2 linked regions of the Cricetulus griseus genome follow. The protein of the gene in region 1 purifies or fractionates together with the protein of each later gene. This does not show direct contact. Links are inferred from orthologs where the notes say so. Each region holds a gene or a part of one and is shown in the gene's direction. Other genes may lie near its edges.

Region 1 (4,080 bases):
AGCTGTCTCCTACTACTCTCTCGCCTGTCAATCACAGCTTGGGTAAGTTGCTGTTACCTCTTGCTGTTTTCGCTAGATTAAGGAAAGTTCTCTCTGGAAATTTTTGTGTGTATCAAAAAAATAAATAAATAAAATTATTCAAATGGTTTATATCAATGACTTTAGGAAGAATTGATACAATGTGTTGGTACTGCTTTCTATTGGCAGGAGTTTATGAGACAGTCATTGAAACTATGTTGTTTATGAAGTTGTAAGGTTTTGATGGATGTTTATTTAGGATGTATCTTATAAACTGTCATGTCTTTTCCTCGTGTACTCTTCCTTATGATACATCTAAATTAGATTAACAGAAGTTAATTACATGTGATGCTCTGTTAGTGAGTTGTACATCAGTACCAAAACCTGTTTTCGCTAACACTTGTCTTTCACTCTGCTTCTTACATGTATGAGGGTAGACAATGTCAGGGAGTGTTTTGGTTCTCCCACTATAAGATCTTTTAGTGTAGGTTTCAACTTAGTCGGCTGTATATTTTTCCCTATCCAAAACTATCTTTTTGGTACATTTAAAGAATACACTTAAGTACAGCAGGCTAATCCATGTGCTCTTGTCTTTTTGTTTTGGGTTTGATCTGGATGAAAGCTAATAAAAGAAATAATCCAACACAAATTATGAGATGGGGAAATTTTTAAAACTTGTTATCTGGCCTAATCTGTTTAAACCAATAGATAGATGTTCACAGTGACTTCTTGAGCCGCTGCCTATCTGCTGGCATGGCGTATGTTCATGATGTTCACTTCATTTCATGTTGAGTTGTTCATACATTTCTTCCTTTACTTCAGATTTGCAGCCAGTTACTTACTCGGAACCTGCATTTTGGTGTTCAATAGCTTATTATGAACTAAACCAGAGGGTTGGAGAGACCTTCCATGCATCACAGCCCTCACTTACTGTAGACGGCTTTACAGATCCTTCAAACTCAGAGAGGTTCTGCTTAGGTTTGCTCTCCAATGTCAACCGAAATGCTACTGTAGAAATGACAAGAAGGCATATAGGTATGTTTTTTCTTTATGTGGAAAATGTAATTTACTCATAATGTAGACAATATGTGGTATTAGATCTAATGCTTATATGGAAAAGCCCAGCTTCATCTCTGTGAATCCCTTTAATTGGGCCTTGGTGATTCTTAATCTGCAAACTTTTGTCTTTGATTTTTGTTTGTATTTGGCACTCATGATAGTGAGAAGTTCTTTGATAAATATGTGTTAAAGTGACTAGCTTGCTCAGTCTTCTTTTAGTTAGGAAAAAAAAAAAAGCAGTGTTTAGTAGTGATCGCTTTTCATTTCCCTCTCCTCCCAGTGATTTTATGTATAATTCAAAATACAATCTGGGGCTTCAGAATATAAAGGAGGATTTCTGACAGCCCTCTGGAGCATCTTGGCACTGTGTGAGGTCAGCACTGCTTTTCCAGTGATACTGAAATGCTGCCTGCTGCTTCTCCACAGCAGGAAGTGGGGCATCCTGGGGGCTTCATGGCCTAGGGTTGTGAAGATATAAAATGTAGACCTGAGAATCCAGACAGTAAAGAAACTTGTCTAACTGAAATATTCCCACTTGTTCCTGATTTATGTTTGAAAATGATTATTTCTCACAAACCTTGTTTACACTAATAGATTTGTTGTTTTAAGTTTTTAAAACACTTTATTTAGGTTTTCAGTCTAATGTAGTAAGTTTCCATGATTATAATCCACATCTATCCAGATTTTCTGGGAACCTTAGTAGTTCATGTCTAACCAGTGAGGTGCAGGTACTGAGAATCCGTCTGATGGCTTCTTCACCGTCAGCTTTCTTCTGCCTGTTGGGGATTAGCCATTTCCTCCTGTGAAAAATGATGATCTTGATGTTGATTCTGTAAAATGATAACAGATAGAAATGGGTTGTTGGCTTTACCTGTACTTTCAAGTGTTGTTACTTTGGGTCATCTTTCATCCAGGTAGCACTAGTTTTTATTTTCTATGTTTTTGTGTTTTAATTAGACCTTTGTATTTTAAAGAAAAGTAGTAGTTTCCTCTGCCCCTACTCATGTCTCCCAACAAAATTTTTAGTTCACTATAATTTTAGATTATTTTTTACATTTTTTAAACTTTTGAATGATTTGATTATCGAATAGTCTGAAAAGTCTAAATTTGTATTTTCCCCCCCCCCCCCCCCCCAGTGTGCTAGGGGTTTAATGTAGGGCTTGCTACACAGGCACACCACCCTCTGGGTATATCCTCCAGTTAGAACCTTATCCTTTCTTGATAGCTAAGTGCATGTTTGATGTTGCACAGTTTCTGAGTCTTAACAGCAGCTGCATTTGCCCTCTGCATGCAGCTTGCTGGCTGTTCTACTGGTTAGTCCCTCTGCTGCATAACAGCTGATCTGCTGCCACTTGAGTCCTGCCTGACCACTCTTTAACCTAGTATGCGATTGCACCACAAAGCAGATGTTTGCATAGCTGGCGGATGAGATATTTTTGAGTCTTTTCTTACTCTGGTAAGCTCTTTAAGGAAAATTTGCCCAGACACTATTTTTTTCAAAATTAACTCAATTTTAAGTGAATTTCTAAAACACCAGGTAATTTGAGTGAAGCTGTCTTGCTAATGTGTACTTTCTCTATATTTGTTGAAATATTTTTCATGAGTGTTACTTTGAAAAGATCAAATTATTGTTAAAAATTCTTTAAAAAATGCTGAGTTACAGTTCAGGAAAGCATGGCTGTGAGAAGATGTCATACAACTGCCTTAGCATCTGCTTAGAGTTCCTTCTAGATGATTCTCAGGAACACTGAAGAGGAGAGTGTTCTAAAACTAACAATGTGTGTTTTGTTTTAGGAAGGGGAGTGCGCTTGTATTACATAGGTGGGGAAGTTTTTGCCGAGTGCCTAAGTGATAGTGCAATCTTTGTGCAGAGCCCCAATTGTAACCAGAGATACGGCTGGCACCCTGCAACAGTGTGTAAAATTCCACCAGGTATGGATTCACCCATGTAAATAAGCCTGTTATATCACCAGTGAAAATAGCCCTGTCACCAGCTTGCTTCATTAACTTTTCTAGTTGGTAATGATTTTAGGAATTAGGAGCTGATGCGCATGCTCCATCTAAAATATAGACTCCCTTTAAAATTATTTTCTAATAAGGACACTTTTTATGTTTTACTGTTTACCAATCTAGGCTGCAACCTGAAGATCTTCAACAACCAAGAATTTGCTGCTCTTCTGGCTCAGTCTGTTAATCAGGGTTTTGAAGCCGTTTATCAGCTAACTCGAATGTGCACCATAAGAATGAGTTTTGTGAAAGGGTGGGGAGCAGAATACCGGTATGAGTCCCATTCTCAGTTTCTAGTTTCTTCACTGTGATTATTTGTATCTTTTGCATCTTCTGTAATTCATTTATCTCTCTTTTCAACAGATATTTATGTAAAATAGTAAAAGAAAGAGGGTTAATGGTGTAGCTCAGTTGGTAGAATACTTTGTGTATCATACATGAGGTGCTGGATTCAATCTTTAGAAACATATAAACCTGGTGCTAGTATGTGTTTGTAGCCAGGCTAGGCTACATGAGACCCTTAGTTATGAAAGTTGGAGGCCTGAAGATAAGAAACTTGAAAATTGCTGTGTTGGTATTATAGAAGATATTATTAAATTGTGGGTAAACATGCATTTTAACATAATGTAGAATGTTAAGTATTATGAAAAGGTATATTTGAAAGGTTAGGGTATTTTATAAATCAGCTGTCTTTACTTTGTATCCAAAGAAAGCTTTCTGATTGGAATAACATATGATTTAGGTTCTAGAAGATGCATATAGACTTCAGGAGATAGGAAAGGGCAGTGTAGGAAACTAATTCTAATAGCAGAGTAGCAGTTTGATTAGAAGTAGAATAAAAATAAGATTGGACAGTTGAGATCAGCTGAGTAAGTGACCCCTCTCACCTTTGGTCTCATTGTGAGTTATATATACATAGTGCCTCCCCCATGTTTTTTATTATGTGTATGTATGTGTCTGTGCTTGTGTGAGTACAAGTGCCTGTGGAATCCAGGA
Region 2 (4,848 bases), on another chromosome or scaffold:
TCTTCTGGCTACATTCAGAGCCAGGTGCAAGGTGACCAGGTGCTTAGTCTCAGGACTGTGCTGGCTTTCACCTCGGCTTTCCAGGCAGGCCTCTGAATATTCTGGCGGTTAGAACATCTATTCCTCCAGACTCGCAGATGCTGCTCTCCCCCCACTGGCTCTGCACAGAACATCATTATCTTTGCTGAGCTTCTGTCTCTATGGCAATAACAGATGGGAAGTGCTGTGGAATTATTCATGTTCACACAGGCAAGCAGTCAAGGAGCGGAGGGTAGGAGATGGGAGAGGGGCATGACCTGGGAGTACGAAGATGGGGACCGACAGGAGCTGGGGCGGGGGCGGTGAAGAGCTTTGTTAGACCTACTGTGGGGGGAAGAGAGGAGAAAAATCTTCGAGCACAAAAGTACTCCTAATTGGACAGCTGCAAATGTGGACCCAAACATGAGTAACCCCGAAGCGGTAAAATAAGTAACTAGGCGAAAAGAAAAAAAGGGGGGGAGGGGGAGTAGAGGAGGGGTGCGCGGCCGCCGAAGCTTAAGTTCCCTAAGTCTGCGCTATTTCAGTTCCTGGTCCTGCGGTGGGGTGGAGAAAAGGGGATTTCTTTGCTGTTTCGAAATGTGACGGACTAGCTCCACAGACTTGAATATTCGAACTGACTCTCTCCTGGGTACGTTGGCTAGGAACTCCCCCCACCCACCCGCCCGCCCGCCCGAGGTGGCAGCCGACAGCTCTAAAGTGGTTATCTTTCTCCACCTCCTACCGTCTCTGAAAAAAAAAAAGAAAAGAAAAACCTGAAAACCCCAAACGAAAGCGCTCAGTGAATTAGAACGGGTCACTTATGGAGGGCGAGAGCAGCTGGGGCAGCCAGGTCTGTCCCGGCGGGGTGGAAACGGCGGCCTCCCTTGACGATGGCGGCCGGGCGAGGCCACCCCAGCGCGGCCAGGCGGGGCTCAGGGCCGGCAGCTGGCAGGGCGGCGGCGGGAGGAGGCCCCACAGGGGCGAGGGCCCCGCGACGTCTGCGCGGCGGCCGTGGGGGGGGGAGGGGGAGCGGCGCGGGGGTCGCCGCCTCCGGGCGGGGGCGTCTGCGCGGCGGGCTCACCCCAGGGGTCGCGGCGGGGAGCCGCCCGCAGGCCACCTCCGGGGCGGGGCCGGGCGGCCAGCTGCGGCCGCGGGGGAGGGGGGGGTGGCCGAGCCTGATCGGGCGCGCCAGCTGCCGGGGTCGCGCACAGTGCAGCCCGCCGCGCCCTGCCCCCTCCCCCGCCGCGCGGCGGCCCAGCGGCCGGGGCGCCCCCGGGTCTGGCCCGTCTCCACACGGCAGCGGGCGTGGCGGGGCGGCCCCAGACAGCCGGCTGGGCGACTCGAGGAAGGAAGGAGGGCGGCGGGGGTGGGGCCGAGGGAACATCCTGTCTGCGCCGGGCACCGCAGACAGCGCCGTGCGCCAGCCGCCCAGACGGCGCGCCGAGCCAGCAGCGTGGAGCACGCGCCGGAGCGGGGAGTAGGGGGAGGGGGCGGGGGAGAAAACAGACGCACGCGCGTGCGCGGCTGAGGCCGCCGGGCGCGCGCCCCCGGCGGGGCTGGAGGGACGCGAGCGCGCAGCCTGAACCGCGCGGCCAGCGAGGAGGAGCCACAATAGGCCAGACGGCGCGCGCGCCCGAGGGACTGGCTGGCGCGGGGCCGCGCGGCGCCGCTGGCTTCGTTCCCTCCTCTCCCCCCCCCCTCCGCCGCCCTCGCTGTCCCCCGGGCGGCCGGAGACGGCGGCGGCGTCTGCGGGAAGCCGTGTCTCCGCAGTGACGTGGGCGGGCCGAGGGCCGGGTGACGTCAGAGGCTGTGTGTAGCGATGTGTGTGGGGTTCGGAGCGGCGCCGGCACAGCGAAGGCACAGCGAAGGCGGCGGGCGAGCGACGGCGACGGCGGGCACAGGTGCGGCCGCAGGTCTCGAGGGGACGAGAGGGGCGTGCGGCCTCTGGGGACGCTGAGGCGGCGGCGGGGGTGATGGGGAGGCCACAGACCCCCTGGACCTCCCCGGGGTGCGGAGGGCCGGAGTGGGGGCGTCCGGGATGCGTGGGGTCCCGGGCGGGGTCTCGGGCACAGGGCGCGCGGCGGGGGTCCCACGGGTGTACAGGCCTCGCGGGTCCTGGGACGGGTCGGCTGGCAGGGGATGGCGCTGCACTTGACCCGAGCGGCCGAGACCCGGGAGACCTGGACGCCGGTCATCGCCGCCATCCCCCGGCCGTCTGAGCTCCGCGGGGATGCCCCGGGCTGGCCCCAGCTCCGAGCGGCCGGCGACTCGGGCTTGCGGGCTTCCGGGCTTGGCGCCCAGCCTGCCCGCGCCCCTCTGGGTGCCACGGCTCGGGGGTAGGTGAAGGGGGTGGGTGGCACAGCCCTGGGGCGCCGAGGTAACCCCAGAGAACTTCCCGCGGACCGGCTGCGTGGGGATTTCCATCGGCGGCCCCCGCAGTGGGGCGATGTGGGGAGGGCACTTGGGGTGATCCCAGTCTCGGGTGGGGGTTGGGAGGACTCCTCCCTCTACTTCCTTCTGCCCCCTCTCACCTCGCCAGACGTCCGGAGTCCCCGGCTTTCCTGTCCTACCTCCCTTCGGTTGAAGATGGGTGGGTGTCTGCGTGGGCGCAGGGCTGTGGTGCGCCCCCGGGCTAGGTCATACCTCCTGCCCTTTCCCTTGGCTCGCCTTGGCTGAGGTGTCCCTGGAGTGGCGAAAGTCACAGTACGGCGGCTAGATGGCTTTCGGCGGTCATCCTTTGGGTTTGTGTAAACGTAAATCGCGGGGAGTTTAGAAAGCAAAGGTTTTTATTTATCGGCGTTCGTTGCATTTTCTCCCGAGGGGAGTGGAAAAAGATTTCTTTTTTCCCCCACTCTGCCTCCATTTGCATTCTTTGTGAGGTCTGTCTGCCTTGTGCTTTTTTGTCCCGGATTAGTCTTGCTCAAGGATGGAGATTTCCAGGCATGGAGTCTTACAGCTTTTGGCTTCCATTAAAGCAAATTCACTAACCTTTTAAAGGGAAAGTTTATTTTTTTTCCTTAATTTCAGAAATAGTTTATATTGACTAGATGAATTAATCCACTTGAGACTAACTTGGTTACATATGGTAGGTATATTAACATGTATCTGGTTCTTTTGGAGGGTGGAACCACATATTTTTTAAAATGAAATAAAAGCTAATTTTTTAATTAAAATGGCATAGTTGAGAAAGCCTCTGGTACTGAGTTTTATTTATTTGTATTCTAAATTTGTGCTCTTCCTTGTTCGGAGGGATATTATTTAATGTTCCTGTTATCCATCTTCTGGGCTGCTTCCTATTTAAATGAAGTTTCTTTTAGATAACTCGTGTTTGATTGAAGGAAATCACTCAAGTGTTACCTTTGGTAAAGTGAACTGAGTTTAAGATTAAGAAACTGGTTTTAAAGTGACCCTTTGGCCTCTGGAGCATATTGAGTTGTAACTCTCCCCACCCTTTCTCTTCTCCAGGTCAATTGAAAGAAGAATGAACTGTAATCCTTGAAGATAACTGGGCAGTTTTTTTTTTTTTTTTTTGGATTATAGAAGTTCAGATTCTTACTGGTGTTGGAGGTTTAGACAAGTCTTCAGTTTGTGGACACACAGCAGCAGACCACCATTTTCAGTGAAGATTAGCGCCCCCCCCTTTGGTTTCCTTGGCAAAAATTAAACCGTTGCATCATTGCAACTCCTGTTTGGGTGTGGTTTTAGGATATAGTAATGGCATACACTTTCCAATGCTTTGCTTAAAAGACAAGACCACCAAACTCTACCATTACACCAAACCTTGCTCATCTTGAATTCAGAAATTAGCCTTTTTTTTTTAATACAAATATCTGAAGAACTCAAGAAAACAAGACTTTCCTCAGAAGTCTGCTTATTGTTATATTCTTTATTGTTAGATACAAAATGAGAAGTTTTGTAGTATTTTCGGTTATCTCCTAAGGTATAACTAAAAAAAAAAGTTGCACAAATCTATCGAGAAAGAAAATTCATCTTTGCAAACTAAAAAAATTTCTAAGGGAGCCATAAGTATTTGTATACATTATCCCTTTCTCTTCAAATTAGAAACTGAGTACAACATGCCAATTGCAGACTTAATTATTTAAAACACCAGTGTAGCCATGGAAAACCTACAGTCCAATTTTTCCTTAGTTCAGGGTTCAAATAAAAAACTGAATGGAATGGAGGATGATGGCAGCCCTCCCGTGAAGAAAATGATGACAGACATGCATGCCAGTGGAAAAACGCTGACCAAGGTGAAGAAGGAACATTTGGATGACTATGGAGATGTATCAGTGGAGACAGATAGAGACCATGCTAAACGAAACTGTACTTCCATCCCCGAAACTTTAAATTTAAACCCCAGCCTGAAACACACACTGGCACAATTCCATTTAAGTAGTCAGAGCTCTTTGGGTGGGCCAGCAGCATTTTCTGCCCGATACTCCCAAGAAAGCATGTCGCCGACTGTGTTCCTGCCTCTTCCATCTCCTCAGGTTCTTCCTGGCCCTCTTCTCATTCCTTCTGATAGCTCCACAGAGCTCACACAGACTGTTTTGGAAGGGGAGTCTATTTCTTGTTTTCAAGTTGGAGGAGAAAAGAGACTCTGTTTGCCCCAAGTCTTAAATTCTGTTCTCCGAGAATTTTCACTCCAGCAAATAAACACAGTATGTGATGAGCTATACATATATTGTTCAAGGTGTACTTCAGACCAGCTTCATATCTTAAAGGTCCTAGGAATACTTCCGTTCAATGCCCCATCCTGTGGGCTGATCACATTGACTGATGCGCAAAGACTCTGTAATGCTCTACTGCGGCCTCGGACTTTTCCTC

The links. Proteins that work in one complex are often made in the same cells at the same time.
Region 2: the proteins of Smad2 (region 1) and Skil purify together in Homo sapiens (affinity purification with western blotting; 8 studies listed by BioGRID and IntAct, with this or other methods). This does not show direct contact. The link is inferred for Cricetulus griseus from reciprocal best matches to the Homo sapiens genes SMAD2 and SKIL.

What each region holds. Positions count from the first base shown.
Region 1 is NC_048595.1:163,543,666-163,547,745, reverse strand, and holds part of Smad2 (mothers against decapentaplegic homolog 2), read left to right. Parts: coding exon 1-42; intron 43-840; coding exon 841-1,053; intron 1,054-2,871; coding exon 2,872-3,009; intron 3,010-3,210; coding exon 3,211-3,355; intron 3,356-4,080. UniProt on the Homo sapiens protein: Receptor-regulated SMAD (R-SMAD) that is an intracellular signal transducer and transcriptional modulator activated by TGF-beta (transforming growth factor) and activin type 1 receptor kinases.
Region 2 is NW_023276806.1:119,740,392-119,745,239, forward strand, and holds the start of Skil (ski-like protein), read left to right. Parts: upstream 1-1,783; 5' UTR 1,784-1,919; intron 1,920-3,483; 5' UTR 3,484-4,136; coding exon 4,137-4,848. UniProt on the Homo sapiens protein: May have regulatory role in cell division or differentiation in response to extracellular signals.